Linked DNA regions of Xenopus tropicalis. The protein of the gene in region 4 purifies or fractionates together with the protein of the main gene of each other region. This does not show direct contact. Links are inferred from orthologs where the notes say so. Each region holds a gene or a part of one and is shown on either strand. Other genes may lie near its edges. The genes, in order: slk, gabpa, ikbkb, keap1, tsc22d4, pgam5 and niban2.

Region 1 (3,820 bases), on a different chromosome or scaffold from region 4:
TTTTTAACCTGACAGTTTATTTTTGTTTATTCTTATTGCATAAGGACATTTTGTAAAGACTCTTTCTAGTCTGTATTTAACTGGGATTTCTATAAAATTTCACTGTATTCATGAGTATACACTTTAGCAAAAGAGGAGGAAGCCCTTCAACTAGTTACTGCATTAAGGCTGTTTGTATGATGTCTTCTAACAGGTCACATAAAATAAGGTGGATACAGTTGTGCATAGGTACGAAATTTCACCAGCGAAGCTACCCATAACAACCAATTAGCAGTAAGATTTGACCACTTTGCTACCAGTTGCAAAATGATAGCAAAAATCTCATAAGCAAGTGCACTTGTTGCGTTTTGCAAGGACTACATGACAGGCGCATACGCAGTAAAGTGAAAAGGCGACTTCTCTGTTAAAGTTTGGCTTTTTCACTCTACTGCGCATGCGCGCGCTAGCAAAGCCGGAAGGAGGAAGCGCTGCAACTTCCCCGAGTGACTTTGCCTTTCCTTCTCCTTTAAATAAAATAAGGATAGTTTCCTATCTGGAAGAGTATTACACTGTGTATGCAATGAAAGAGAAATATGGAATCATGTCAGTTTTATGTTTTTGATGATGAGAGGCGCAGAAGTATCTCGAAATACCTGTAGCCCACTTTTGTGACAGTGCTAATACTTGTGGCACTAACAGGAGTCCTGAGCCCCCGCTTATTATGGGGGTAACAGGGAGTCTTCACTCTTAATGGCGTGCCTCCACCCAGGGGTTATGTTGTGGGACTGTAACTCCCACCCTGGGACCTGATCTGATACTGTAGGCTTGCCAGGGACGCCACACAACTCCTGGCACCTTGCCCCTCCCTGGGGTAGTTGCTTACCGGCGGGTAGGTGATCCCTGGTGCAGGAATGAGCCAGATACACAAGAAGCGATGTACCAGATGAATGTCTTTATTTGGGCAGAACCTCTCCAGGAGTGGCATACATTCGTCAGGGCATATACTCCTTATCTTCACCTTAAGAGAACCTACCTCCTGTTGGGTAATCTACGGTACTCCCGCCAAATGATCCCTTTTAGGTGCTCCCCCCGGTACTCACGCCGAGAGACCCTCTCTTAGGGCTCTCCCCGGTACTCTCGCCAGGCTGACCCACCTCCAGAACTCACCCCGGTACTCACGCCTAGGTACCCTCAAAGTAGGACTCCTTCTAGCGGCGGCTTGATACACCTACCTGGACACTTTGGGCCCTGCTCTCCAGCAAATGTATTGCTGGGGGGTCTTAACCCCACTACCACTCCTGGAGGGGCAATGTCCGCCCATTCTAACTTCCACGCCTACATGTCACTCCTGGAGCGACCTATCACCAGAACTGACTATCTAATAACTGAGCCTGTTGTACTCCTCTACCCAGAGGCAGTCCCAGGCCTAAGACCCCACAGCACATGGCTGCATCCCTTTTTATAACCTTACACACCACCCTGTGGCTGTAACCAGAACTACAGGGATACTCCCTGTTAACTACTAATATCCCAAACCATTCCAAGTGTCCCAATTACCATCACCACCCCTAGGGGTGTTCATCCTACAGGGCCCATTTTTGTCAAACCCCTACATACCCTTCAGTGGTTTTTACTTTTGCAGATATTTCAGATAAAGGTTAAATCATCATCAGTTGAACGGTTTGTACCGTATATACTCGAGTATAAGCCGAGTTTTTCAGCACGAAAAATGTGCTTAAAAACTCAGGCTCGGCTTATACTCGAGTGAATATACATATATAATATATATCATTTGTCGCGCTCGCCGCACCCCCGTGTGCTTGGCCGTTCGCTCGGCTGTGTACATGCGGGGGGCTGGGGCCAGCGTGTTCCAGTTAGTCTACCTGCCAATTAGACTGGTCACTACTGTGTGTGCGTACATTCGGGGGGCGGTGGCCAGCGTGTTCCGGTTAGTCTACCTGCCGATTAGACTCTTCGCTACTGTGTGCGATCAGCTGCCATCGCTCATAGGTACATCCAGGCAGAAGGCCGCTTACATGCGGGGGTCGGGGGCCAGCGTGTTCCAGTTAGTCTACCTGCTGATTAGACTGTTCGCTACTGTGTGTGCGTACATTCAGGGGGCGGTGGCCAGCGTGTTCCGGTTAGTCTACCTGCCGATTAGACTGTTCGCTACTGTGGCGCTCAGCTGCCATCGATCATAGGTACATCCAGGTACCAATATAATAGGAACCAGTATAACATTAAATACAATGTGCGAATGAGTGATTGCACAAAAGCTAATCTTTCTTATTGTTCACGCGGGGGTGGGCCTGTGCCGGGTAGCCTATAGATTAGACTGGTGTGTTAAGTTACTGTGGCGTTTAGCTGCCATCAATCAGAGGTACATCCAGGTACCAATATAATATGAACCTGTATAACATAAATACACACAGTGATGTGTGAATGAGTGATCTGCCCAGCATTGCACAAAAGCTAATCTTTCTTATTGCAGAAAGATTTATCTGCCCCTGTATAGCACCCTGCCTTTGGTCAGATGGGAGTGAGTAAAATTATTTTAGGCTCCATCCACCTTTCCCTAATCACCTTTCCCTAATCTGCAGCTGCCAACATAATATATTTATTATTATTCACAGGGGGTAACGCTGAGTGTCCTTTATTAATTATTTGATTATTGAAACTTAGCAGTAGCTGCTGCATTTCCCCTCGGCTTATACTCGAGTCAATAAGTTTTTCCAGTTTTCTTAGGTAAAATTAGGTACTTCGGCTTATATTCGGATCGGCTTATACTCGAGTATATACGGTATATATGGAACTCCTTCAGTAAACTAAGACATCCCAAAGTATTTAATATAAATGCTTTTAGCAGAATATGTAGTGGCTAAACTTATATCTCCTATTTCTAACTCTAGGTCACCAGAATTCAATGATTACCTGAAGAAATGTTTAGAGAAGAATGTGGATGCAAGGTGGACTACCACTCAGTTACTACAGGTAATGAGAGAAGCATACATACATTGAGTATTCATAACATATATTATGATGTAGAACTTTCTGATCTTTGAAATTTCAGATTGACTAATATTGTGCTTCTGTGTATTGTGCTGCTTATCATCTTGACATTTTTAGCACCCGTTTGTCTCTGTGGTAAATTCCAACAAGCCACTTCGAGAACTAATAGCAGAGGCCAAAGCTGAAGTGTTGGAGGAAGTAGAAGATGCTAAAGAGGATGAGGAGGAAGATGAAGGAGAAAGTTCTTTGGTAAGTATGGTATTAAAATTTAAGTTCTTTAGTTTATTCTGTCTTTTTAGAACGTGATCACATATTTTACCTCTCAAAGTGGTCATTTGGAATTGTTTTAATGTCTCCAAGATGGAGATTGGCCCGTTCCTTGATCAACTTTTTATTAACTTCAATTGTCTGGTGTGAGCTTTCAGCATTAGAACCATAGAAGCCAGGCAGATTGTTCCAATGTGCTATATAGCTGCAAAAATGCTTTGTTGGTGCCAGTTGTGGACCTGGAATTCCTAAATATAGATTGTGGCTACTAGATCATATTTTAATAAGCAAAACTGCATAATTATTTCAGAGGTAAACTTCCTAATGTTTTTATTATTATTAACAATATTATATATTTTTATTGTCCTGTTAGCCTGTTCCAGATAAAAGAGCTTCATCAGACCTAAGCATTGCTAGCTTAGAAGACGATAAACTCTCTCAGAATACCTCAACGTTAGAGCCTGTTTCTGAGCAAGTTGTGCCTACTGTAGTTGAAAATCAAGTCATAGATCAAGAAAGTGAAGCAAAAGTAAAGAAGGAAGAAGGAGATAAAAAAATCATTGTG
Region 2 (3,820 bases), on a different chromosome or scaffold from region 4:
GGTTCTGCCTTTCTAAAGTCTGTCACGTGACCAGCAGACAACTGCTCAGACAGATAGTAGCCTCTGACCTGAGGCCAAGTAAAGGTGTGCTCTGCTGTACTAGGGGTGTGCATTCAATTCTAGCTCACAATGTCGGTCACTGGTTCGACTGATGGACACAATGTTAGTCAGAGAGACAGCCATAGCTTGCCGCATATCTGACATATGTACTTAAAGAAACACTTCCGTATTTAAAACATAGATATTTGCCAAATGGGGAATCCGTATTCTGCAGTATGCTAATTAATAAAGCACAAAATAAACCCCATGGGACCCTTTAGGATCAGGAAAGGCTTTCTTAATGAAGATGGAAATGATTTTTATGGTGGAAAAGAACAGAAGGCTTAACCTCACTACAAAGAGCCGAGTTCATTAAGTTCATGTGGAAAATATGCCATGCTTCTTGAATGAGGGGCCACTGTAAACAAACGTGTTACCCGAAGAATTACAAGATCCAAGTGTACTGAATTCCAAGTCCTCTGTCGAAAAAAACAAAATCATGCCTTATACTGTGAGGTCTGAAAGTAAAAATGCATCAGAATCCCATAAATGAGGATCCTGCAATGTACAGATGGAAAGTATCAGTTTGAGTTTCTGCAGAGCCAAATTATTCTTTTTCTGTCTGAAGTGAAGCAGTAGCTAGTGCCACCGCAGTCATAGGCTGCCCAATGCCATGTAATTGCATCTTTGCCATTTTCTTTTGTTCACATTCTGCCACCAACCGACTCAGTTCTGCTGCACTGTAGCCAATGAGGGTCTTCAGATCACAAACAAACTTATAAACAAACCTCTTGCCTTGAACTTTACAGATCATGTCGCCATCATAGTAATACCTACAAGGAAAGAACAAATAGCTAGTCATCAATATTTCCCTAATGATACAAACATGAACATTAACAATTTAACTTTTAAACTCTTCAATCAAAATACAGGATACAGAATAACTAAAAATTACTATTCCACAGGAAGGTTATTTTACTTCATATTGGGTTTGGTTTCAAATTCTTGCCTTTTGTTACAGCAAGCTACAAGATTTGGAACCTACCGTAAAGCACGGCTAAGTTTCTCATAATTCATGGTGGGTTTGTTTTTTCGCTGTCCCCATTTTTGTGCCACCAGTTCTGGCTGGTTCAGTTTGAATTCTCCTTCGTCACCAACCCATGAAATACAGTCTCTAGCATCTTTGTCAGTGAGCAATTCTAAAAGAAACTGCCATAGTTGAATCTGACCATTGTTTCCTGTAAAAAAAAAAAAAAAATTAAATAAAATACATATTGAAAATGGTGACATGTTCATTTTTCTGAAGGACCATGTTTACAACATAGCAGTCTTTGGGGTTATGTAGTAAGAGGCACTAAGGTGCAGTATCCCATATCTGCCCAGGTGCAGTATCCCATAGCTACCAATCAGCTGGTAGCATTTACTGGTCACCTAAACAAAAGCAAACATCGTATTGGTAGCTATGGGTATTGCTTATGGGCACACTTAGTGCTTTTTTAATTACATATGGGGTATGTGTTAATGATTTATTAACCTATAAACTGTATAATTGGTCATCAGTCCAAAAAAGAAAAAAAAGTGCATGCTGAATTACCCGTTCTGTTTCCCGGTGAACTTCTGTCTTCCCCAGAAATGCGCGGCGTCCTTTGTATTTTTGCTACTTTGGTTTGACTGTTTATTACTTTAATGGTTGTTTGTGCTGTTGGTTGGATTGATGCTGGTATAATTTGTACAGCTACAAAAGCAATTAAATAATAAATAAGTTTTCATTAACAGTTTCCCTTTTAAATATAAGCCAAAAATTTCTACATTACAACAACAGTTGCACACAGTAAGTACTATCAGGAAATTAGGTTATGTAAGAGTTCAACTGCTAGTAAAAATGCAAAGACGTTGTCTTACGCTGATCAATGGTAACGGTCGCAATTTCACCTCCATGTTCCTGGCTTGCCAAAACATCTGAAAACACATGGAAAAAGCTGTTTAGCCTCCCATTACTAGATTAAACAGACATTCAGTCATTACTGGTAACAAAAGCCAGCAAGGCATTTAGTAGTAACTTGGCAGTAACCAGTATATATTCTACCTGATGGCACCCAGTTGTCAAATAAAATGCCCTAATTTAATTTGACATCACACCCAATATGAGGAGCACCTTATATAACTTGTTCACTGTGGCTTTGAAGATCAACCTTGCAGAAAAGGTACAGATATTTTAAAAATATGTGTGCAAGAAAACGTAAGATTTTCCCAGTAGTGTGCATCCCACAAATTTGATCAACAATGGAGCAGATATTGGGGAACTTCTTACATTTCCTAAGAAGCTCCAAATGACTCCACAAAATTTCTCCTCTGGGGACTCTTTGGAAGAAATCTTCTTGGTTAAGGTTGCAGAGTTCTCTTCCTGTTATACCGAGGGAGTTCACATTTATTTCAGTCAAACAGAATTCTTTCATTACCCAAAGCACCCAATGAAGAACCTGATCAACAGACCACTGAAGTGGATCTGAAAATAATGGGAAAAAAAGAAAGACAATAAAACATCACATTTCTGATTTGAGTACTGATGAATAATTATTTACAGGAAATTTAGGCACAGCAGTTTAGCAGCAAGCTAAATCCATCTGATCCTATCTACATGTCTTCACATAACTATGCAGGTTGAATATGAATTTGCTTCTGTAGTGTGAATAGGGATATTTGTAAGATTTAACTAAATATCATCTTGTTTTTATGCAGCTGCTGTTATTCAATGCAAAAACAGAGCAAAGGAGAGAATTTAAAAAGCCTTGGAAGCATTTTAAGCCTCTCCCTTCTTAAGGCTAATGCCGTTTCAGTGGGAAATAGCCATGGCAATAAACTCATCCAGTCTACAGCTTTGGGTTGATAGCAAGTTGCCATGCACTGGCTAAAAAGTTCTCTATATGCTATCAGCCCAAAACTGTAGACTGGATGAGTTTATTGACATGGCTACTTGCTATTTCCCATTGAAATTGCCTGACTGTGCCAGTACTTGTGCTGTCAGGCATTTCCCTAAATGTTAAGTCCAGTCTCTAGTGTAGGTAGGGCTGGGCGATATACCGTTTAATACCGAATACCGGTGTTTTTTTTAAAAACTATATTACTATATTCATTTTTCAGATACCGCAATACCGGGGTGTCAGGGTACTCACCCGTGCGGGCCGGTCTCGCGTGCGTCAAAGCGCACGTACATGTCAAAGCGTGCACGTCCGTAATGCGCTGACGGCGCCGGTTCTGCACATGCGTGGGGGGTATTTAAAGCTATCAAACGCCTCCTCCTGTGCTATGTTGTCTGCGGCCTTGCCTGGGAAACTAAGCCTGCCTGATTTACCTTACGACTTTCTGTTGCCGATCCTTCGCTTGCCTGACTCTGATTTTCAATACTGCAGTAATTATTCTCTAATTTATTAGGAAATGGGGTTAACACCTAATCATGCATGGAAAAAAAAAAAATACCGTCAAATACCGTCACACCGATATAATTTTGAAAAATACCGTGATATAAATTTTTGGTCATACCGCCCAGCTCTAAGTGTAGGACACAAAAATAAAACACGATCTGCAGAAATATATTTGTTATTGTTTGCTCATCTATACACATATTACTTTTGCTAATCTATAATAAAGCTAAACCATGTAATCTTACATTGTAAAAACAGTCATTCAGAACATAAAATACTACAAATATACTTTAACATCCCTTGTAAACTCATTTTCCTGAATTGTTAGGTTTAATTAAATTACTTTAAGCTATTGCAAA
Region 3 (3,820 bases), about 7.4 Mb from region 4:
ATGGAGATGAGAAGGATAAAAGGGAGCTGCCACAGACCTGAGTTGGTCATATATAAGGATGACTCTCTTCTCGAAGCTCTGGATGGCTTGAATTAGGAGGCGCACCATTTCATTGCTGTCTCCTGCTGTCCTTTGATCTACAGGTAAAAAAAATACATTGGTGCTGGGTTCCTAGAAATAAATTTACGTTTACGTTTAGAGCAAGTCAGATCTTCTCGGTAAGTCCAATATCCTTACTACATGTCACATGGAGTTGAGCATGTTGAAACTACACTTCCTGAGTAACTAGCAGGTAGCCTAAATACCATGATAAATTAACAGAGTCAGGTTTCTGGTGCTAAACCGCAAGAAGGGTTATCTAGCCCATCGTATTCCCGTCATATTTAGTAATACAGACTCTTTGGCCCTAGAGCCAAATACAACTAGTAAGGGGATTATTTACCCATATTTGCAACAATAACTGCTTACCTCTAGGTCTCTCCCGTAACCGCCGATATAAATCTTTAGCCTGTTCTTCTCTGGCAATAAAAGTAGAAAACAATGTTTTATTTAGACCGTCATAGAGAACAGCCAACCCCCAACACAATTTACAGAACACTTCATATGATGACATGAAAGTACAATGGCTGAACAGTTTCCACCTCACTCACAGGTCATCCAGTGTCCCTCGGTGTTTCCTGCCTAATGGATTTCTCTGCAGATCTACACTGTCTGTTTGTAAAGCCATCATTTTATCCACAAGAGCCTGCACTTCCCTCTCCTACAAAAGAACAAAAATGTAAAGAACTTAAAACAAAGGAAAATCCAACACACAGTGGTTGAAAAGGTAGGTAACCTTGTTTCGCAGCAATGAGCAATTGATTTCTGGGCTTCTCTCTTGCCTTATGATCTGGCAGGGGGTAAAAGTTGGGGTCTGACATTAAGAGCTGACTGGGGTTTACTACTACACTGATCTCCAGGAAGCTCAATAAGAACTCTCTTTAGGTTCCAAAGCTAAAGCCCTCCTTTACCCCATAAAGATCAATGCAATGGGATATACTGCATTTTGGGAAAAGAGCAGCCCATAACCAAACAACCTGGATACATTTAAACAATGCAGACTGCGGATATTTGGGTGCATTTGTAATTAGACCAAATTTGTAATTACAATACACAAGCCCAAACCGCAAATGGTTGCTATGGGGGAAAAAAGCAGTGCACTGGTTTTGCCCACGGTGCCCCTTTAAGTAATGGAGCCCGAGACCCTAGGGTACATATATTCACATAGCACGTTTAATTTATGGAGTGGGCTTTCGAGTATCATTATCCCATTTCATCTCATTCCTTACCCTGCCGCACAGTTCCACTGTTTGCTCCGTCTCTCTCCAGGCTGACAGGAGCTTTTCAGAAGCTGCGAGAAAGAAACATTGTTCATATCATTAACAGGTAATGTAAAGGTGAACGGCTCCTTTAATAGATATCATTGATGATAAGGTGATGTGTGTGAAGTAGGAACCCATATAAAGGCTCAAAATACAAGGGCTAGACCCTGGCCTACTAAGTCTCATCCTGCAGACTGTATGGCTAAAAGCAACAGTAATAAAGAGAAATTTGCTCTTTTATGAATATGCTATTTCACAATAGTAACACTGCATGGTGCAGATTTTGCCCTGTTCACATTTCACAAGTTCAATATATAAAAACTGGCATTTCTAGACATATTCATTTTTAGGGTTTAGTTCTCCTTTAAATCTGCATATAACAGAACGGGTACCTTCCGTATCCTAAGCAGAGCTTTAATTTTATCTTAATGCTGTAAACTAAGAGGCCATAGTTTGATATGCACAGATCATTCCTCTGTGTAAAACTGTATTTATACAGAAGACTGGAAGCTCCCATACTGCTTGCTGTTAATACAGAAAGCCATTTATGATGACTATGAATGCTGTTTAGTGGTTGTCTAAAGAAAAAAAAAAAAAGCTGTGCATAATAACAGTGTGTCAGAGGTTACAGCAAAGTCAATAAATCACTATAGTTCTCTTTACTAAGCAATAAAAGTCGACAGAGGGCCCAGCCAGTAACTTACTGATTCCAAACTCCATCTGTTCACTGTATTTTTCTAGATCAATCTGGATACTGTTCCGGAAGAAATCCAGTTTGGCCTTTAGCTGCTCAAACTCAGAAGTCATGAGGTTCTTCTTTTTGGAAAGTTCAGTATTGTATCGCAGCAGGTTTACCCTACATAACATAGAGATATGCCCTCAGCACTTATGCATAATACATGGAGAAACACACATCTGCCACACATACTGTCTGTCCCACCCACACGCAGAGCTCTCATACTCACATAAAGGTACGCTGCCCATGAAGCAGACGGGCACAATCCTCTTTCATCGCTCGTATTGTCTGCCAGGTCTGCCCCCACACGCGGCGAAGGTGGGTGTAAGTGAGGGGCCGCTTGGGATCCTGCACTGGAATAGAATTAAGTGCCACAGTGTCACATCACCATCAACAAACCACAAACCTCAGGATTAGACAGATGTATAAACCCTGAAGGCATAGGCAAACGTCTGAGTCCTCAGGCAAGAGGAATATACATATACATGTATATCCCTTGCCATTACAAGCCAAATATCAGTGGCACTCACATATAACGGTGACACTCTCGGGATGTGCCGGCAGTGATATCTGGGGCTCATATACAGTCTTCCGGTTATCAAATAGAAATATCAGATCACCCTCGCCCTGGCGCCCATCATTGACCTGTAGACAAAAGCAAATAAGACACTTATTGATTAAAATAATTCCAGTTTATAGACAACAAAGATATTGGCCTATGACCCTCAAGCAGTTACAACTCCCACCAGCAGCCAGCATCTTATATGGCAAGGTCAGATCTAGAATGCAAGAACAACTGCAGGTGGAATGAACTAGAACAGTTGAGGGTTTTACTACACTTGCTGTACTGAAAGTAATATGAATATTTGAATCTGTATATTGCACTTAAGAGCTGTAATTAAGCAGTGAAACATATGCCTATATGGTCACTCTCTGAAGTCAAAAAGACAATGGTTTTCCTTTCATTAACAGTTCCACCAGATACTGTGACCTGCAAAGAAAGGCTGCTTACAGAAATATAATTTAAAGTTGCATTTTAAGTTGAACCACACTAGCCTTGTGTCACATGACACAAAACATTTTTTTTGCCATATTTGTGCTTTCATAATGTCATTTTGCGGTGAGCATGAGAAGACTCTTACCGTGCAGTCTACCACAAACTGGGTTAGAGGCTGGGCAGGATTAAGGGCCAATCCTGATGCCTGCAATAGTTCCTGCTCTTCCTCAGGAATCCCTGTGTCTTGCTCCAGGCGACTCTTCAGATTCTGCAGGTTTTCATTCTCTGACACCGGGTAAGTGTGCACCTTGCCAGACACCATGTTCAGTACAGACAACAGCTGGGGGGATATATACACATGTACATCAATATATCAGCAATAACATATATGTTTATAAAAACCTGTGATATATATCCTTATAAGTAGTGCTTAGTGAGGTTATCATATATAAATCACCCATAGCCCATTGAAACGTGTATTAAAAAATAAGCAATCCCCTGCTTCAACATTTAGGAACATTAGAAACCACCTTACATGGTCTGTGGTCCTTATATCTTAAGAGAGGGTGTTGTATAAACATATATGCAGGTCTATCCTGTTGGTTCTGGTGCTTTTCTTGAAACTTTGGGGCAGTTCTCTCATCCAGAGTATCTGCCTTCACCTTTTTTGCTGTTTATTGCTGGGTGGTACGTATAGGTTTGATTTTTGTTTTGATATTGTGTACA
Region 4 (3,820 bases):
TGCTACTATAGGCACCATCTCTCCCTACTATACCTGCTATCCCACAGCCACAGTCCCTTCCCAGAGGCTATTATCCCACTGCTACTATAGGCACCATCTCTCCCTACTACACCTGCTATCACACAGCCACAGTCCCTTCCCAGAGGCTATTATCCCCCCACTGCTACTATAGGCACCATCTCTCCCTACTATACCTGCTATCCCACAGCCCCAGTCCCTTCCCAGAGGCTATTATCCCCCCACTGCTACTATAGGCACCATCTCTCCCTACTATACCTGCTATCCCACAGCCCCAGTCCCTTCCCAGAGGCTATTATCCCCCCACTGCTACTATAGGCACCATCTCTCCCTACTATACCTGCTATCCCACAGCCCCAGTCCCTTCCCAGAGGCTATTATCCCCCCACTGCTACTATAGGCACCATCTCTCCCTACTATACCTGCTATCCCACAGCCACAGTACTTGCCTGACAAGATTCTAGGGTGTCCCAGACAAACTTTTTTTTTACTTCACACAGCACTCCATTGCACCCAAGAGCACCCCAATTCTCAGCATTCATTGCTACAAAAACAGTGAGACCCACTTGCCCCACCTGTACCCACTAACATTTTGTTTTTCGTCTCTGTGGAAGATGATTAACACGCTATGTTCTCAGACCTCAGTCCTATCATTCGCGTCTCAAGGTCAAACAGCTCAGCGCCTTGCACAACACCATGAATAAGCATTGGGGAAAGCACAGAACGGAAACCACAGCGCTACGTGGATCTGCCAAATGTTAAAGGGGCTGCTCACCTTTGAGTTAACTTTTACTCTGAGACAATTTGCAATTGGTCTTCATTTTTTTATTACTTGTTAACTTTTTGTTCAGCAGCTCTCTAGTTTATAGTTTCAGCAGCTATTCGGTTGCTAGGGTCCAAATTACCTTAGCAACCAAGGAGTGGTTTCAATAAGACACTGATATATGAATAGGGGACAGCCTGAATTGAACAATAAGCTATAAAAAGTAATAACAATAAAACTGTAGCTTCACAGAGCAATGTTTTTGGGCTGCCGGGGTCAGTGAGCCCCCTTTTTTTTTTTGGAAAGAGACAGAGGAATAAGACAAATAATTCAAAAACGATACAGGCAGCTCATCTTTGGTGCGACTAGCATCGGAACTGCTGCTGCTGAACTTAGGAGCCTAAAGGGTGTTCTATCAAGCCAAAATGGCAGCATTAATGCAATATTTACACGCCACGTGCCAGGTAAACAGGGCACAAAAAAAATAAATAATGAAGACCAATTGAAAAGTTGCTTACATACTAAAAGTTAACTTAAAGGTGTACCTCCCCTTTAAAGCCCTGATACAGTTATTTGACTCACCTCCCCGAATTGCATGTATATATATTCCCGCGCCTTCTGGTGCAACTCGTGGCATCCGATCTGCTCCGCAAAGGTGGCTATGCCGATGGCGTTACTCGGGTCAAGCTGCTGGATGAGAAAGTCGCAGCAGGCCTTGACCACGCTGTCCATCTGGTACATGACGGCGCCGTTCATGACGTGGATGACGCACTTCTCTCCCACGGAAATGCTAGCTGTGTAGGCAAACTCCAAAAGCCGCTGCATGACTTTAGGGTGAACCCCCTCTATGGTAACGGTCTCCATGCCGCACTCCCGGAGGCCATTGGTAAACATGGCGCGGAACACGGGGCTGCTGGACGCCAGCACAATCTTGTGGGCCACAAACTCATCCTGGACGTCGTTGTACTTGACCTTCAGCTTGACGTCGCACAGTTGCTGCCCCAGCCGGAGCTCGTTCATAATCTGGAAGGCCTGGTTGGTGTGGTCGGCCAGGCTATACTGAAACTGCCGGTTGCCATTGCTGTGCGAGGGCGTCACTTCCGCCTGGCACTCTGTCGCGTACATTCCTGCTGCCGTCGGAAACGCCTAACGGGGCATCATTAGGGGGCAAAAAGATTTCTTCAAAACAAACCTATTGCCATTTTTCTTTAAAAAAAATATTTTAAAAAAATAAATTAACTGTGCAAAAAAAATGTGTCAAAAAGACCAATAAATTATTTCACGCAGAAAAAAAAAAAATATTACGGATACTTAATCCATATCAGTTTGTCCAGATTCTCTAGTCAGGAGTGATTTAATCCATCCCGGTCGTTTGGTTAACGGGGGGGGTTAGCAAATGAAAAATAAAAGTCTCTGCCTAGGGGTTGAGCATGTTGCTGGAGCAAACCCGGGCTACGGTGAGTCGGTGGGATCAAATAGGAGCCCTTCTAGTTCATTTTCTGTTTGATACCTGGAGAGGAAGAAGGAAGAGAAGTTGAAAGCTGCTTGTGATTAGCCGGGAATGTGCCAGAACGAGTGACGCCATAGAGTTATGACTGCTTTACACACATCCCATGTTTACCTGGCACACTGCGCGGCGTGTAAATATTGCATTAATGCAGCCATTTTGGGTTAATAGAGCACCCTTTATGCTCCTACGTTCAGCAGCAGCAGTTCCCATGCTAGTCGCACCAAAGATAAACTGCCTATATAGTTTTTGCATTATTTGCCTTCTTCTTCTGTCTTCTTTCCAACTTTCAAATGGGGGTCACTGACTCCGGCAGCCAAAAACTATTGCTCTGTGAGGCTACAATTTTACTGTTATTGTTACTTTTGATAACTTTTTTTTCTTTTCAGGCCCTCTCCTACTCATGTATCAGTCTCTAATTCAAACCACTCCCTGGTTGCTAAGGTAATTTGGACCCTAGCAACCAAATAGCTGCTAAAACTATAAACTAGAGAGCTGCTGGACAAAAAGTTAAAAAACTTATTTTTCTGTTCAGCTTCACTACTATTCATATATTGGTCACTCTCTCAAACCTCTCCCTGGTTACTAAGGTGAAATGGACTCTAGCAACCAGATAGCTGCTGAAATGTGAGACTAGAGACCCCGGCAGCCAAAAACTATTGCTCTGTGAGGCTAAAATGTTATTGTTATTGTTACTTTTGATAACTTTTTTTTCTATTCAGGCCTTCTCCTACTCATGTATCAGTCTCTCATTCAAACCAATCCCTGGTTGCTAAGGAAATTGGCACCCTAGCAACCAGATAGCTGCTAAAACTATAAACTAGAGAACTGCTGAACAAAAAGTTAAATAACTTATGTTTCTGTTCAGCTTCACTACTATTCGTATATTGGTCACTCTCTCAATCTTCTCCCTGGTTACTAAGGTGAAATGGACTCTAGCAACCAGATAGCTGCTGAAACGTGAAACTGGAGAGCTTTGAAACAAAAAGTTAAATAATAAAAAATGAAGACCAATTGGAAATTGTCTCGAAATATCACTCTCTACATCATACTAAAAAACTACCTCAAAGGTTTAGTATGATGTCGAGAGTGATATTCCGAGACAATTTCCAATTGGTCTTCATTTTTTATTGTTTGTTACTTAACTTTTTGTTCCAAAGCTCTCCAGTTTCACATTTCAGCTGCAATCTGGTTGCTAGAGTCCATTTCACCTTAGTAACCAGGGAGAGGTTTGAGAGAGCGACCACTATATGAAGAGTAGTGGAGCTGAACAGAACAAATAAGTAAAAATAACAATAAGTTAAATAAAAGTAACAACAATAAAACTGTAGCCTCGCAGAGTAATAGTCTTTTGGCTGCCGGGGTCAGTGACCCCCGTTGAAAGCCGAGCAAAGGCAGTAAATGAATGCAAATAATTCAAAAACTTTAAAAGATAAAAAAATGAAGACCGGTCGAAAAGTTGCTGAGAATTGGCCATTGTCTGCCCTGCTGGTTCTGACTTCTGAAACAATGTAGCACAAAGCCAGCCGGCA
Region 5 (4,385 bases), about 13 Mb from region 4:
TCTGAGTATCACTCATGTATTATAAGGGATAATGTACCCCCTACTGTAAATGATAAGGATATTAGCAGTCACTGAGGGGTTCTGTGCCCCCCATATAAAGGCACAAGGCTGCAGGCTGAGTTATCAGGGAACTCTGAGTATCACTCATGTATTATAAGGGATAATGTACCCCCCTACTGTAAATGATAAGGATATTTAGCAGTCACTGAGGGGTTCTGTGCCCCCCATATAAAGGCACAAGGCTGCAGGCTGAGTTATACAGGGAACTCTGAGTATCACTCATGTATTATAAGGGATAATGTACCCCCTACTGTAAATGATAAGGATATTAGCAGTCACTGAGGGGTCTGTGCCCCCCATATAAAGGCACAAGGCTGCAAGGCTGAGTATATACAGGGAAACTCTGAGTATCACTCATGTAATTATAGGGATAATGTACCCCCTACTGTAAATGATAAGGATATTAGCAGTCACTGAGGGGTTCTGTGCCCCCCATATAAAGGCACAAGGCTGCAGGCTGAGTTATACAGGGAACTCTGAGTATCACTCATGTATTATAAGGGATACTGTACCCCCTACTGTAAATGATAAGGATATTAGCAGTCACTGAGGGGCTGCAGGGATATGGTATAAACATAAAGGATTGTATATTCACACTGAGGCAGCAGTGATTGGTAGAAGAGGGAGGAAGAGCTGCTGTGGGTTAAGGGATATACAGAAGAACTACATCCCATGATGCACTGTAAGGCCGGCAGTGACAGGGTGGCCAATAGAGCGTGGGGAGTCAGTGCAGGGAGTTATAGCCTGTGTTATGGTATCACATGAAAGGATAAAAGCTGAAAAACAATTCAAGGCCGGGGAATTGGCACAGCCAATCACTGCTCTCAGGCTCCCTGGCACTCATATTCTCCTTTACTGTGCGCAGCAGGGGGTTATATTTGTGCGGCTCCTGGTGGCCCCACGGTACCTTTGGCACAGAGTATGCAGGGGGCACCCAGTCAACTAGGGGCGGTTTGCCTAATGGGTCGTGGGGGTAACCCTGTAAGCCCCCGCCTAGCCAATGGGAAGTTATACGTTTTTATAGAAATGCTCAGTATTCAGCCAATCAGGTTGCAGACATTACAGCATGTGACCGTGGCACCAGTGGGCCCAATAACGCACATTATTAGCGGCCTGTGGGCCTTTGGGAAACTGGGGAAAGGTGAGATGTGCTGGAAGCTAATTCTAAGCAACTTTTCAGTTGGGCTTTATTTTTTCTGCTTTATAGTTTTTGAATGGTTTGCCTCGTTCTGAATCCGTCCGGCAGTTACATGAGGGTCGCTGACCCCCGACATCTCAAAAACAAATGTTCATCTTTGTATCCAAGCCCTCCGCTATTCCAATTCCAGCCTCTCATTCAAACCAAGGCCTGGCTGCTAGGGTAATTTGGACCCTAGCAACCAGGTAGCGGCTGAATAAAACAGCGAAATAACTCAAAAACCACAAAAAAGAAAACCAATTGCAGATGGTCTTAGAATTTCACTTCCTACATCAGGGCAAAACAACCCCCCCTGTAATGTAATGTAATGGGTGGGTGTGGCTTATTACAGCAGTGGGTGGGGCCTATTTTTCCACAGCATCCCTCTGTTTTTTCACCCCAATTCCAGCACTGAGTTTGTGGGGTTTGGGTGGATTATGGGTAGGAGTTAGTCAGACGGGAGCAGGGGGCCCCCACAGACAGGATGATGGGGGGGTCTCTCATAGGTACCAGCACATACACTGTATATATCCCAAATGCCCCAGTACAAGAATATTTCCCATCAGCCTCAGCCCCCGACTCAGTTCCAATCCAATCAGCCCCACTCTAAGTAAAGCTCCATCTCTTGCACTCACTTTCTCACTCGACTCTCTCTTACTCCTCTGTCTCTCAGGTAAGGTACAAGTCTCTCCTTACTCCCCCACTCACTCTCACACTCACTCTTACCTTCCCTCTGTGTGACTCCCCCTGGCTCCCCCACTCACTCTCACACTCACTCTTACCTTCCCTCTGTGTGACCCCTCCTGGCTCCCCCACTCACTCTCACACTCACTCTTACCTTCCCTCTGTGTGACCCCTCCTGGCTCCCCCACTCACTCTCACACTCACTCTTACCTTCCCTCTGTGTGACTCCCCCTGGCTCCCCCACTCACTCTCACACTCACTCTTACCTTCCCTCTGTGTGACTCCCCCTGGCTCCCCCACTCACTCTCACACTCACTCTTAGCTTCCCTCTGTGTGACTCCTCCTGGCTCCCCCACTCACTCTCACTCTTACCTTCCCTCTGTGTGACTCCTCCTGGCTCCCCCACTCACTCTCACACTCACTCTTACCTTCCCTCTGTGTGACCCCTCCTGGCTCCCCCACTCACTCTCACACTCACTCTTACCTTCCCTCTGTGTGACTCCCCCTGGCTCCCCCCACTCACTCTCACACTCACTCTTACCTTCCCTCTGTGTGACTCCCCCTGGCTCCCCCACTCACTCTCACACTCACTCTTACCTTCCCTCTGTGTGACTCCTCCTGGCTCCCCCACTCACTCTCACTCTTACCTTCCCTCTGTGTGACTCCTCCTGGCTCCCCCACTCACTCTCAGGGGAGATGGCTCTCACACTCAGGGATGCTCCATGCCTCACACGACTCCAGGAAACTTTCTCTCCATGCAGCTGCAGGTTTGTGAGTCTCTCAGTTCATGTTCTGTGGCCTGAAACAGTCTCTCCCTCTCTCTCCCTCTCTCTCTCGCAGTCTCTCCCTCTCTCTCCCTCTCTCTCCCTCTCTCTCTCGCAGTCTCTCCCTCCTTCCCTCCCTCCTTACTCAGCCTGTTGACATCTCCTGTGTCAGGAAGTCCAACCTCTTGTATCTGTCGCCTCTCACTGCCTCCTTCTGCCTCTCTGCCCTCCTCCTTCTGCCTCTCTGCCCTCCTCCTTCTGCCTCTCTGCCCTCCTCCTTCTGCCTCTCTGCCCTCCTCCTTCTGCCTCTCTGCCCTCCTCCTTCTGCCTCTCTGCCCTCCTCCTTCTGCCTCTCTGCCCTCCTCCTTCTGCCTCTCTGCCCTCCTCCTTCTGCCTCTCTGCCCTCCTCCTCCCCTCACTCTCCCATTCACACTTCCCTCAGCCCCAGTACAAGTTTCACCCCCAACCTTCTCTGCACCCCTATTGTACTTACCCTATACCCCCTACTCTGTGTATCCCCCCCCCCCCAGCCTATTGTACTTACCCTATACCCCTACTCTGTGTATCCCCTCCCCAGCCTATTGTACTTACCCTATACTCCCCTACTCTGTGTATCCCCTCCCCAGCCTATTGTACTTACCCTATACTCCCCTACTCTGTGTATCCCTCCCCAGCCTATTGTACTTACCCTATACTCCCCTACTCTGTGTATCCCCCCCCCAGCCTATTGTACTTACCCTATACTCCCCTACTCTGTGTATCCCCTCCCCAGCCTATTGTACTTACCCTATACTCCCCTACTCTGTGTATCCCCTCCCCAGCCTATTGTACTTACCCTATACTCCCCTACTCTGTGTATCCCCTCCCCAGCCTATTGTACTTACCCTATACTCCCCTACTCTGTGTATCCCCTCCCCAGCCTATTGTACTTACCCTATACTCCCCTACTCTGTGTATCCCCTCCCCAGCCTATTGTACTTACCCTATACTCCCCTACTCTGTGTATCCCCTCCCCAGCCTATTGTACTTACCCTATACTCCCCTACTCTGTGTATCCCCTCCCCAGCCTATTGTACTTACCCTATACCCCTACTCTGTGTATCCCCCCCCAGCCTATTGTACTTACCCTATACTCCCCTACTCTGTGTATCCCCTCCCCAGCCTATTGTACTTACCCTATACTCCCCTACTCTGTGTATCCCCTCCCAGCCTATTGTACTTACCCTATACTCCCCTACTCTGTGTATCCCCTCCCCAGCCTATTGTACTTACCCTATACCCCTACTCTGTGTATCCCTCCCCCAGCCTATTGTACTTACCCTATACTCCCTACTCTGTGTATCCCCCCCCCCCTATTGTACTTACCCTATACCCGTACTCTGTGTATCCCCCCCCCCAGCCTATTGTACTTACCCTATACCCCTACTATCCTACTCCTGTGTGTATACCCCCCCAGCCTATTGTACTTACCCTATACCCCCTACTCTGTGTATCCCCCCCCAGCCTATTGTACTTACCCTATACCCTACTCTGTGTATCCCCTCCCCAGCCTATTGTACTTACCTATACCCCTACTCTGTGTATCCCCCCCCCCCCAGCCTATTGTACTTACCCTATACCCCTACTCTGTGTATCCCCCCCCCAGCCTATTGTACTTACCCTATACCCCCTACTCTGTGTATCCCCCCCCCCAGCCTATT
Region 6 (4,420 bases), on a different chromosome or scaffold from region 4:
TGTGTCATACTCTGCCTGCCCTACCCTGCCTGTGTGTGCCATACTCTCCCTGCCCTATGCTGGCTGTATGTGCCATACTCTGCCTACAGTACCTATGTCTGAGGTGTGAAGAAGTGAACAATGGGAGTGATTACAGTCTGAGCCTGAGGTGTGAACACTGCAGGGGGTGAACAAAGGTGTGAAAAACACAGGGGATTACATATTTATACAATACAGGAGGATTACAGCCTGAATCTGAGGTGAGAACCATGCAGGGGGTCAATTAATCTCAGTACTGATACCATTTAATGCTTACTCAAAGGTAAGCCATCAAAGCAGCCAGACAGGTGGGGGGCCACACAGAGGGGGGTCTTAAAAAAATGGCAATTTAAGCTGGTAAAAGGTATGGAAAATCTCAATTATGAAGAAAGACTGGCCAAGTTGGGGTTATTTGTGCTGGAGAAGAGATGCTTAAAGGAGGATATGATACCTATGTATAAATATATAAGGGGATCATATCATAATCTCTCTAATGCTTTATTTACCAGTAGGTCCTTCCAGCAGACATGAAGGCACCCATTCAAATTAGAAGAAGGAGGTTCAATCTTAGTATTTGGAAAGGGTTTTTTACAATGAGAATAAGTCCCTGAATCAGTTGTACTGGCAGATACATTAGATGGCTTCAAGAAGGGGCTTTTTACTTTAATTGAGGAAATACTTGTACTCTTAGATCAAATTGATCCAGGAACTAGCCCAATCGCCACCTTGAAGTCAGAAAGAAATTTTATCCCCCTCTGAGGCAAATTTGAGAGGCTTCAAAGGGTTTTTTGTTTTTTTTTTGCCTTACTCTAGATCAGGGATCCCCAACCTTTTTTTACTGGTGAGCCACACAAACATTAAAAAAAAAGTTCTTTGGGGATGCCAATTAAGGACTGTGATTGGCTATTTGGCAGCCCCATGCGGACTACTAGCCTGGGGGAGGCTCTGCTTGGAGTACAAAACTTGCCTCCTAGTTATGGAAGCAGGGCGCCTACTTTGAGGCCACTGGGAGCAACATGTAGGCAGGTTTCATACAGGCATAAAAGGTTGAAATCAGTGGACATGTAGCTTATTGTCAGCCTAAGTTACTATATTATGTTACATTCAAAAAAAATTTTTGCATGAATTAAAATTCTAAGCTACAATCCAATATACATTCATTGCCTAGTTAATTTTGTTTTAATGTTTTTTTTATTATACTTGTTTAAGTGATAAACAAATGCTGCTTTTTATTGCAATAACATTTACTAATAACTTTAAAGCCACTGTCATGTTTCGTAATAATATTGGAAAGTGGTGGCTCTGAATTAAAAAGAAAATAACATGCAAGGGTGAACAGCAGCTGTCCAAAGCCCAGAGAAACCGAAATTAGGACTGAATGTTATGACTGGAGGCTGAGAAACCACGTGACATGGTGTAGTGGAAACTCCAACTCCCAGCTTGCTTTTCGGCTTAGCTTGCGCTTGGTCCGCCAGAACGTGTGTGAGATATCCATACGCCGCGAATGTATCTCCGCAAGGCTCTCATAGCCGGTGGCTCTGCGGCTGCAGCGGCGGCAGCTATTCTGGGCGCAGCAGCGGTAGGCAAAAGCAAAGGAGGACCCGACTTGGATATTCTATCCGTGGTGCCAGCGGCAACTGGGCAGTGGGACCGAAACTGGGACCGGTGAGGCACTATGTGCGCATGCGCAAACTTATGCCGTCATTGGCAGCAAGGGGTGTGATTGAGAGGATGTTTGTGGGGGCATAGTGTACTCTGGGCAAGTCTGGACCCTGTTAAATATTGGGAAAGTAAAGAGACTGCAGCCTTCATTGTTAGTGAGGGGTCATGCAACCCCCCAAGTATAGAAACAAGAGTATAGAAACAGGAACGTCTCCGACACATAAAGGTGTTTCTATGGGTTCAAAGCAAAAGGCAATAAACACCTTTGTAGTACACTCTCCTGCTTCAGCCCGTGTTCCATTTTTTTTGTTTTAATTTAAAAAAAAAAAAAAAAACGGAGTATTTTGTATTTGTTTGCACTATACAGGGACGTTTAAGCCATGTTTTGTTCTTGTGAGGTGGATATTGGAAAACCAGTGCGCAGATATGCAGGAGGCTGTTATTCTCCCAAGGCTCAAAAGCATGGAGTACTTTCAGTTTCCCTTTTTAGCTCAACAAAGAACAAGAACCATAGGTTTTGCTAAATAAAAAATAGGCAAAATGTATGTTCAGTACAAGCCCTATTCATTTTATTGAAATATGATATGCTATTACTAGTGAAAAACATAAAACTATATATATATATATATATATTATTGTGGCTGGCCCTTTAATTGTCTGTTACACACTTAAAGGAGAAGGAAAGGCTAAGTCACTTGGGGGTGCCAAAATGTTAGGCACCCCCAAGTGACTTAAATCGCTTACCTTGTACCCTGGGCTGGTGCCCCTGTTAGGAGAAAACAGCACCAGCCCGGGGTAGCAGCGAGCGCTTCCTTCTTCCGTCTTCGTTAAGCTGTGACTGTGAGTCAGGCGCATGCGCAGTAGAGTGAAAAGCCGACTTCTCTGTTAAAGTTCCACTATTCAGTCTACTGCGCATGCGCGCGAGTGATACAGGAAGGAGGAAGCGCTCGCTGCTACCCCGGGCTGGTGCTGTTCTCTCCCAACAGGGGCACCAGCCGGGGTACAAGGTAAGCGATTTAAGTCACTTGGGGGTGCCTAACATTTTGGCACCCCCAAGTGACTTTGCCTTTCCATGCCCTTTAAGCATTTCCTTAATGCCAGTTACTTGATAGTTGGATTTATTATTATTTTCCCAAGGTAACACCTTCCTGGCAATAGATGGCAGCTAGGATTGTGAAAACTAATATATATACAGCAGGGAAAATAACAATTGAACACGTCAACGGTTTTCTCAGCAAGAAATTAACACCAGATGTCGGTGACAACCCACGTTATCCACACATACAAAGAAATCAAAACAAATCATTTCATAAATTGTGTAAATGTTCAGTACTTATTCCCTGTGTCATTCCACTTTATTACACACATTCACATATATAATACATTGTAGAAAAGCCTTTCTTGGTAATGCCAGCTTCAAGGAGCCTCCTGTATGGAGAAACTAGTCTGATTTTGGCCCATTTTTCCACACAAACTGTCTCCAAATCTTGAAGGTTTCATGGGCCTCTTCTATGAACTCTGGTCTTCAGTTCTATTCATAGATTTTTAATTGGATTCAAGTTGGGTGATTGACTGGGTCATTCTAGCAGCTTTATTTTCTTTCAATAATTACTGAGAAAACATTGATGTGTTCAATACTTATTTTCCCCTCTGTGTGTATGTATATATATATATATATAAATAGAAGAAACCGGCACTCACGTGTAGTTATCTTGCCTGGGTGCAGTCCCAAAAAATCAAAAAGTTTTTACAATCCCGGGGTCAGGAACCGCTCACACAGGACTTAAGGTTCATTTTTTAAGTGCTTTATTGAAAACAGACGACAACTGACGTTTCGGCTGCAACACCAGCCTTTGTCAAAGTTACACACTAAGACTTACACGGGCCTTATAAATTGTGTTTGGTGGGAAAACCCACAGACAATAGCGTGAAAGTGTAACACTCAATCACAATAAACGTGATGACATCAAACCCCCACCCATTAGTGTACATCTCCATATGAAACAACAGGACAAATCCAGAAGTAGGAAATAAAATGCAAAATAAAAGTAAAGAATAAATTGGAATAAACCACAAAAGCTAGCGAAAATAACTACGCGAAATAGAAACATTCATGCATCTAAATACACAGTAAAGATATAAGATAGCAAACATATGGAGATGTACACTAATGGGTTTGATGTCATCACGTTTATTGTGATTGAGTGTTACACTTTCACTCTATTGTCTGTGGGTTTTCCCGCCAAACACAATTTATAAGGCCCGTGTAAGTCTTAGGGGCCCATTTACTTACTCACGGCCGAATGCGTTTTTTTCGCAATGATCGGTATTTGGCGATTTTTTTGGAAAATTATCGCGACTTTTTCGTTGCCATCCGAATGTTGCGTAAAATCTGGCGATTTTTTCGTAGCGTTAAAACTTGCGCGAAAAGTCGCGCCTTTTTCGTAGCCATTCCGAAAGTTGCGCAAAATGTTGCGATTTTTTTCGTAGCGTTCGGATTAATTCAAGCTTCAGTATGGTGACTTTCCTTGGGCCAGGTTGGAGCTGCAGGGTGCCATTGAGTCCTATGGGAGGCTTCCAAAATCATGCTAAGTCTGAAAGTTTCGGCCGCCGCTTACGAGCGCTCAATACGAAAAAGTCGCGACAAGATACGAGCGAATCGTAATGACTACGAAAAACTTGCGTTTTTTTTTTTGCGAAAATCGTATTGGTAACGAAAAAGTCGCGACAATTTCCGAAA
Region 7 (4,583 bases), on a different chromosome or scaffold from region 4:
ATTGATGAAATCATTAAAAAAAAAACCCTGCCTATAGGTGCAGGTCTTTCCACTCCACTATTATTATAACTATACCATGAATAAAATACTGCATGCATCTAGTAGTGCTGTAGTCACATTGTGTGAGCTGGGGGGCAGAACGTGGGCATCTTCTTAATTGTTCATTGTTCAGTGAAAGATAGGCAATGCCAATTGGTGTAAGATGCAGTGGGTCTCTGTATTTAACACCAGTGTTTGACTGGCCTACCAGGAGAACTCCCAGTGGGCCCAGGTGTCAGTGGACCCTCCTGCTCCTAACCATTTGGCCTGCTTAATGGTTATTCCCTATTTCTGAATGAAAACAAAGAGGAGAAATAGATGGAAAAATAGATTTAGCATGTAAATAAAAGAGACTAAGAGGATAAAGATGTTGGTTGAGGAAAGGAGGAAAAATAGTTTGGAGAGTGTGCCTAGGGTCTAAGGTTTTCTGGTGGGCCCCTGGGGTCCCAGTCCGACTCTGTTTACCACCAACCTATATCAGGCATTGAGTATAGGAGATTGTGATAGTGTTGGAACTAGAATTAGGAAGAAGAGGTACATGCGTAGAGTGCAACAGTGGGTGGCACCAGTCATGTACCTTTTCTGCCTGCCAACCCCAAGTTCCAGCCTTTCTGCCTTGTCGTTAGCTCCTGCTCCTCTTCTTTTAGCTGGCAAGCCCTGCTTGTTATATAGTGTGGGTAGTCTGTAAATAGGAGGGTGGGTGACAAGTGGGGGGGTTGTGTTGCTCTGGGTCTTGCCATGGGCACATTAAAGTGATACTGACACTAAAAAACGACTCCTCAAAATATGAATGTACATAAAAAGTTGCCTATAGGTCATGTTGATTGATTTTCGCTGAGAGATTTGCTTTTGTAAATAATTGTTACTTGAAGTAAACCAACCTGACTGTCCCTTCCCAGCCTGTCAGTTATAGTTTCTAATGCTAACGGCCTCCTGCTGGACAAATATGGCAGCCCCCTTATAGGGGAACATGGGGGATCAGACAGGTAATATAAAAGCATTGGGCAAATACTTTTATAGCAAAAATGAAGGTCATGCAAAGACTATGTTATGATAGATGTAAAAAAAGGTTTAATTTCTGGTGTCAGTATCTCTTTAAGGGTTTGGCCTAGCGCTAAATGTGCCCCCCTCTAGTAATGTCTCCACCTATCCTCTTTACTTAATTTTTCAGAATTATTTGAGGTTTGGTATGGTGCCAAGGGCAAATTGATTCAGTGGTGCCTCTATTCAAAAAGGCATCCCATTCTCAGCCTGAAAACTATAAGCCTGTTAGTTTCAAATTGGTTGTAGGAAACCAGCAGTGAAATGAGACACGTGCCCAGTCAGACTGCTCCCACAACATCCTACTGTTACTTCTAAGCAGGAAAAAGAAAAACACTTTTCACTGGAGGAAAAAAAGAACAATATAAAGAGCTTTGCTGATATGATAACATGTTCTTGTTTTTAAACTTTGCTCATTGTGTATAGCCTTGTTTGTTTTTCTTATAGAGCATTATTCTAGCCAATTGCGTGACTCCTGAAAGAATTGAAAACAGCCATCTGTCTTGATTCTTTGTGATGGGTCCTTTCACTGCGCTGGTGCAGTCCTTGATCAACAGGATTTTTGAAACCTGCCAGATCAATATCTGTCACAGGACCTACTAAGGGCCTTTTACATGGCCAAGTTGGCAGCCTTTATCAGCCCATGTATGGCCAGCATTTTAATACCTGTTTTAGTGAAGAAAAAGTCTTTATGTATCCTTTACCTAAGGGACCCATCTAGAGTTGCCACCTTTTCCAGGTTTTAAACCCCGGGTTGCATGCCATGCAATGACATCAGGGGTGGCATTACTGTGTTATTCCCAGAATGTTGAAAACTGGGTTTTGTCCTGAACAGTCCCTTAAAAAACTGGAGGTGGCAGCCCTAGGCCCATCTGTTTTAAATATGGGATGATGATGTTTGTTGATTAAACAACAAAGTTTAGTGTGACTCAGGGTACAGGCATAGGGGAAGACTGATGCTATTGTAGGGCTGATTTTTGGCCTGTGTTTATCCATGTGGCATTAGCCTAAGGGCCTTCAGTCTCCTGATACCAATGTAGGGGCTGATTCTTGACCTAAAGCCTTAGGCCCGGAGGCCACCCCTGTTGGTCGCCCCCCCCCCTCCAGTCATGCGCATGCGTGAACGCGCGACACCCCCCCCCGCGCGCGCGCCAGCCGCGAGTGTGCATGCTTCCATACGGAGCAGTGGGGAGAGCTCCCAACGAGTCAAATTTAAACATTTTGTTTCGGCGGGGCGGCATGCCACCCCTAAACTTCTGCCGCCCTAGGCACGGCCCTTTGTGGCCTCTCCACAAATCTGGGCCTAGAAGTATCCACTATCGTTTTTAAAGGATGAGCCTGGGAATCAAAAGCAGAAGTGTGTCAGTCAAGTTAGAGCTGGGCGGTATGACCAAAAATTTATATCACGGTATTTTTCAAAATTATATCGGTGTCACTGTATTTGACGGTGTTTTTTTTTTCCATGCATGATTAGGTGTTAACCCCATTTCCTAATAAATTAGAGAATAATTACTGCAGTATTGAAAAATCAGGCAAGCGAAGGATCGGCAAGAGAAAGTCGTAAGGTAAATCAGGCAGGCTTAGTTTCCCAGGCAAGGCCGCAGACAACATAGCACAGGAGGAGGCGTTTGATAGCTTTAAATACCCTCCACGCATGCGCAGAACCGGCGCCGTCAGCGCATCGCGGACGTGCACGCTTTGACATGTACGTGCGCACGCAAGGAGGCGCGCAAGACCGGGCCGCACGGGTGAGTACCCTGACACCCCGGTATTGCGGGGTGAAAAATGAATATAGTTTAAAAAAAAAAACACCGGTATTCGGTGTTAAGCGGTATATCGCCCAGCCCTAAGTCAAGTTACTCCTACCGTGCCCTACAGTCCTTCTCACTGACATCTCCCCTTTCAGTAAGCACAAGTTGCTTGAAAAACAGATGAGTCAGAGAAAATGAATGATGTGACCGAATGAAGACTGACTTGACTGATACTCACCCAAGAATATCTGTCATTCCATGCATATTAACGCTCCCCATAGGGAGGCACTTCAGATTCCATGTTCAGACCTAGAAGTGACATATGACATAGTTAAAACTAAAAGCTGTTAGTTTTTTCAAAGTCAGTTCAGTGTCGGCATTGCCAAGGAATGAATTTCTATATAAGCTATCATTTCATTTGGCAGTGATTGGAATATTTCCCATCATTTGGATCTAATTGTCTGTGTATATACAGCTTCAAATCACCCAGTCCTTCATTGTATTACATTATCCTATTATATTTCTGAATTTAAGTAACATTGTCATCATATAATAAGCAGCTTTTTTAAATAAGCCATAATAATTGTACAACAAACGTAATTGTGAATGTGCCATTCTAACCATTGTTATGTCTCTCTGTCTCATAATTGAGGGGTGTATTGCTTAGCAGGAAAATGCTAAATTATGTGCATCACTTCCTATTGCAATTAAAGGCCTGTTTTTTGAATGAGAATCACTGCGATTATAAGACATATCAAACCTATTACCTTTAAATACAGCCAGTTTCCATGGCTACCATGTGTTGCCTTATTTACAATAATTCAATTTATGTTTTTTAATATATTATTATTAATATATTTATAAGATCCATAGTCAGGGGTGTATTTAGGTCCGGTGCTGCCCTAGGCACTGAGCTTATACACACCTCTACCTCATGCATATGACGTTACATGCACCAATGTCGTTAAAGTGATGTCATGTGCAGTGTGCACATGATGTCACTTCCCCAAAACCTTCCCCAAAACCTGCTTCTAAAATTTCCATTGTCATAGAATCGTCATTAGCAATGGTTGCAAACAGGCCCAGATTTGTGGCAAGGCCACAAAGGCCCAGGCCTACGGCGGCACAAATTTAGGGGTGGCATGCTGCCCCGCCGCACCGAAAGTTTGACATTTTACTCCCCCAAACATTCACTAACCACTGTTTTTTACCTCTCACTCCGCACTTACTCTCACTTTACACACCTACATGAACTCTAACACCATGCTAGTTACCCTGACCTTATGTCTCAGCCCTCCCTTTTAGAATGTAAGCTCTTGTGAGCAGGGCCCTCCCCCTAGTGTCTCCGATCCTCATCCAATGTAACTGCAAACCATTTTTGTTTATATGTACATGTTAACTGTTATGTCTTTTGTACCCCTCTATTCTGTAAAGCACTGCGTAAATTGATGGCGCTATATAAATAATAATAATAATACGGAGCAATGGGGACCTTGCTTCAGGGAGGTTTGGAGGGGTGTTCGCGAATGCGGGGGGTGACGAATTGGGGCGGCCTTGGGGGGATAAGAAATCTGGCGCTGGTTGCAAAACTGTGGGGGTGGCCCCCTGTAGGCCTGGGCTGGCAATCTGTGGATTCTGGCAAATGCCAAAGGGGAGATTCCACTGCCAGTCACTATTTAGTGAGCTGGTTGGGGCCTGTTTGAGCCTCTGTGTACTTAAAATGCCAGGGCCTATTGTGCATCATCATGGAGG

Evidence for each region.
Region 1: the proteins of keap1 (region 4) and slk purify together in Homo sapiens (affinity purification with western blotting; 3 studies listed by BioGRID and IntAct, with this or other methods). This does not show direct contact. The link is inferred for Xenopus tropicalis from reciprocal best matches to the Homo sapiens genes KEAP1 and SLK.
Region 2: the proteins of keap1 (region 4) and gabpa purify together in Homo sapiens (affinity purification with western blotting; 3 studies listed by BioGRID). This does not show direct contact. The link is inferred for Xenopus tropicalis from reciprocal best matches to the Homo sapiens genes KEAP1 and GABPA.
Region 3: the proteins of keap1 (region 4) and ikbkb purify together in Homo sapiens (affinity purification with western blotting; 7 studies listed by BioGRID and IntAct, with this or other methods). This does not show direct contact. The link is inferred for Xenopus tropicalis from reciprocal best matches to the Homo sapiens genes KEAP1 and IKBKB.
Region 5: the proteins of keap1 (region 4) and tsc22d4 purify together in Homo sapiens (affinity purification with mass spectrometry; 4 studies listed by BioGRID and IntAct, counting the BioPlex papers as one, with this or other methods). This does not show direct contact. The link is inferred for Xenopus tropicalis from reciprocal best matches to the Homo sapiens genes KEAP1 and TSC22D4.
Region 6: the proteins of keap1 (region 4) and pgam5 purify together in Homo sapiens (affinity purification with western blotting; 6 studies listed by BioGRID and IntAct, with this or other methods). This does not show direct contact. The link is inferred for Xenopus tropicalis from reciprocal best matches to the Homo sapiens genes KEAP1 and PGAM5.
Region 7: the proteins of keap1 (region 4) and niban2 purify together in Homo sapiens (affinity purification with mass spectrometry; 3 studies listed by BioGRID and IntAct, with this or other methods). This does not show direct contact. The link is inferred for Xenopus tropicalis from reciprocal best matches to the Homo sapiens genes KEAP1 and NIBAN2.

The regions. Positions count from the first base shown.
Region 1 is NC_030683.2:27,933,417-27,937,236, reverse strand, and holds part of slk (STE20-like serine/threonine-protein kinase), read left to right. Parts: intron 1-2,888; coding exon 2,889-2,970; intron 2,971-3,105; coding exon 3,106-3,237; intron 3,238-3,628; coding exon 3,629-3,820. UniProt on the Homo sapiens protein: Mediates apoptosis and actin stress fiber dissolution.
Region 2 is NC_030678.2:18,565,910-18,569,729, forward strand, and holds part of gabpa (GA-binding protein alpha chain), read right to left. Parts: intron 2,546-3,820; coding exon 2,351-2,545; intron 1,999-2,350; coding exon 1,942-1,998; intron 1,775-1,941; coding exon 1,634-1,774; intron 1,278-1,633; coding exon 1,085-1,277; intron 873-1,084; coding exon 647-872; 3' UTR 1-646.
Region 3 is NC_030679.2:130,604,721-130,608,540, reverse strand, and holds part of ikbkb (inhibitor of nuclear factor kappa-B kinase subunit beta), read right to left. Parts: intron 3,435-3,820; coding exon 3,240-3,434; intron 2,743-3,239; coding exon 2,628-2,742; intron 2,451-2,627; coding exon 2,327-2,450; intron 2,218-2,326; coding exon 2,066-2,217; intron 1,391-2,065; coding exon 1,329-1,390; intron 761-1,328; coding exon 651-760; intron 519-650; coding exon 469-518; intron 138-468; coding exon 38-137; intron 1-37.
Region 4 is NC_030679.2:138,050,766-138,054,585, forward strand, and holds part of keap1 (kelch-like ECH-associated protein 1), read right to left. Parts: intron 2,292-3,820; 5' UTR 1,907-2,291; coding exon 1,364-1,906; intron 1-1,363. UniProt on the Homo sapiens protein: Substrate-specific adapter of a BCR (BTB-CUL3-RBX1) E3 ubiquitin ligase complex that regulates the response to oxidative stress by targeting NFE2L2/NRF2 for ubiquitination.
Region 5 is NC_030679.2:151,477,059-151,481,443, reverse strand, and holds the start of tsc22d4 (TSC22 domain family protein 4), read right to left. Parts: upstream 2,925-4,385; 5' UTR 2,831-2,924; intron 2,806-2,830; exon of another isoform or gene 2,569-2,805; intron 2,402-2,568; exon of another isoform or gene 2,294-2,401; intron 2,211-2,293; exon of another isoform or gene 1,964-2,210; intron 1-1,963.
Region 6 is NC_030677.2:155,457,068-155,461,487, forward strand, and holds the start of pgam5 (serine/threonine-protein phosphatase PGAM5, mitochondrial), read left to right. Parts: upstream 1-1,361; 5' UTR 1,362-1,522; coding exon 1,523-1,683; intron 1,684-4,420. UniProt on the Homo sapiens protein: Mitochondrial serine/threonine phosphatase that dephosphorylates various substrates and thus plays a role in different biological processes including cellular senescence or mitophagy. Modulates cellular senescence by regulating mitochondrial dynamics.
Region 7 is NC_030684.2:31,996,261-32,000,843, reverse strand, and holds the start of niban2 (niban apoptosis regulator 2), read right to left. Parts: upstream 3,111-4,583; coding exon 3,070-3,110; intron 1-3,069. UniProt on the Homo sapiens protein: May play a role in apoptosis suppression. May promote melanoma cell invasion in vitro.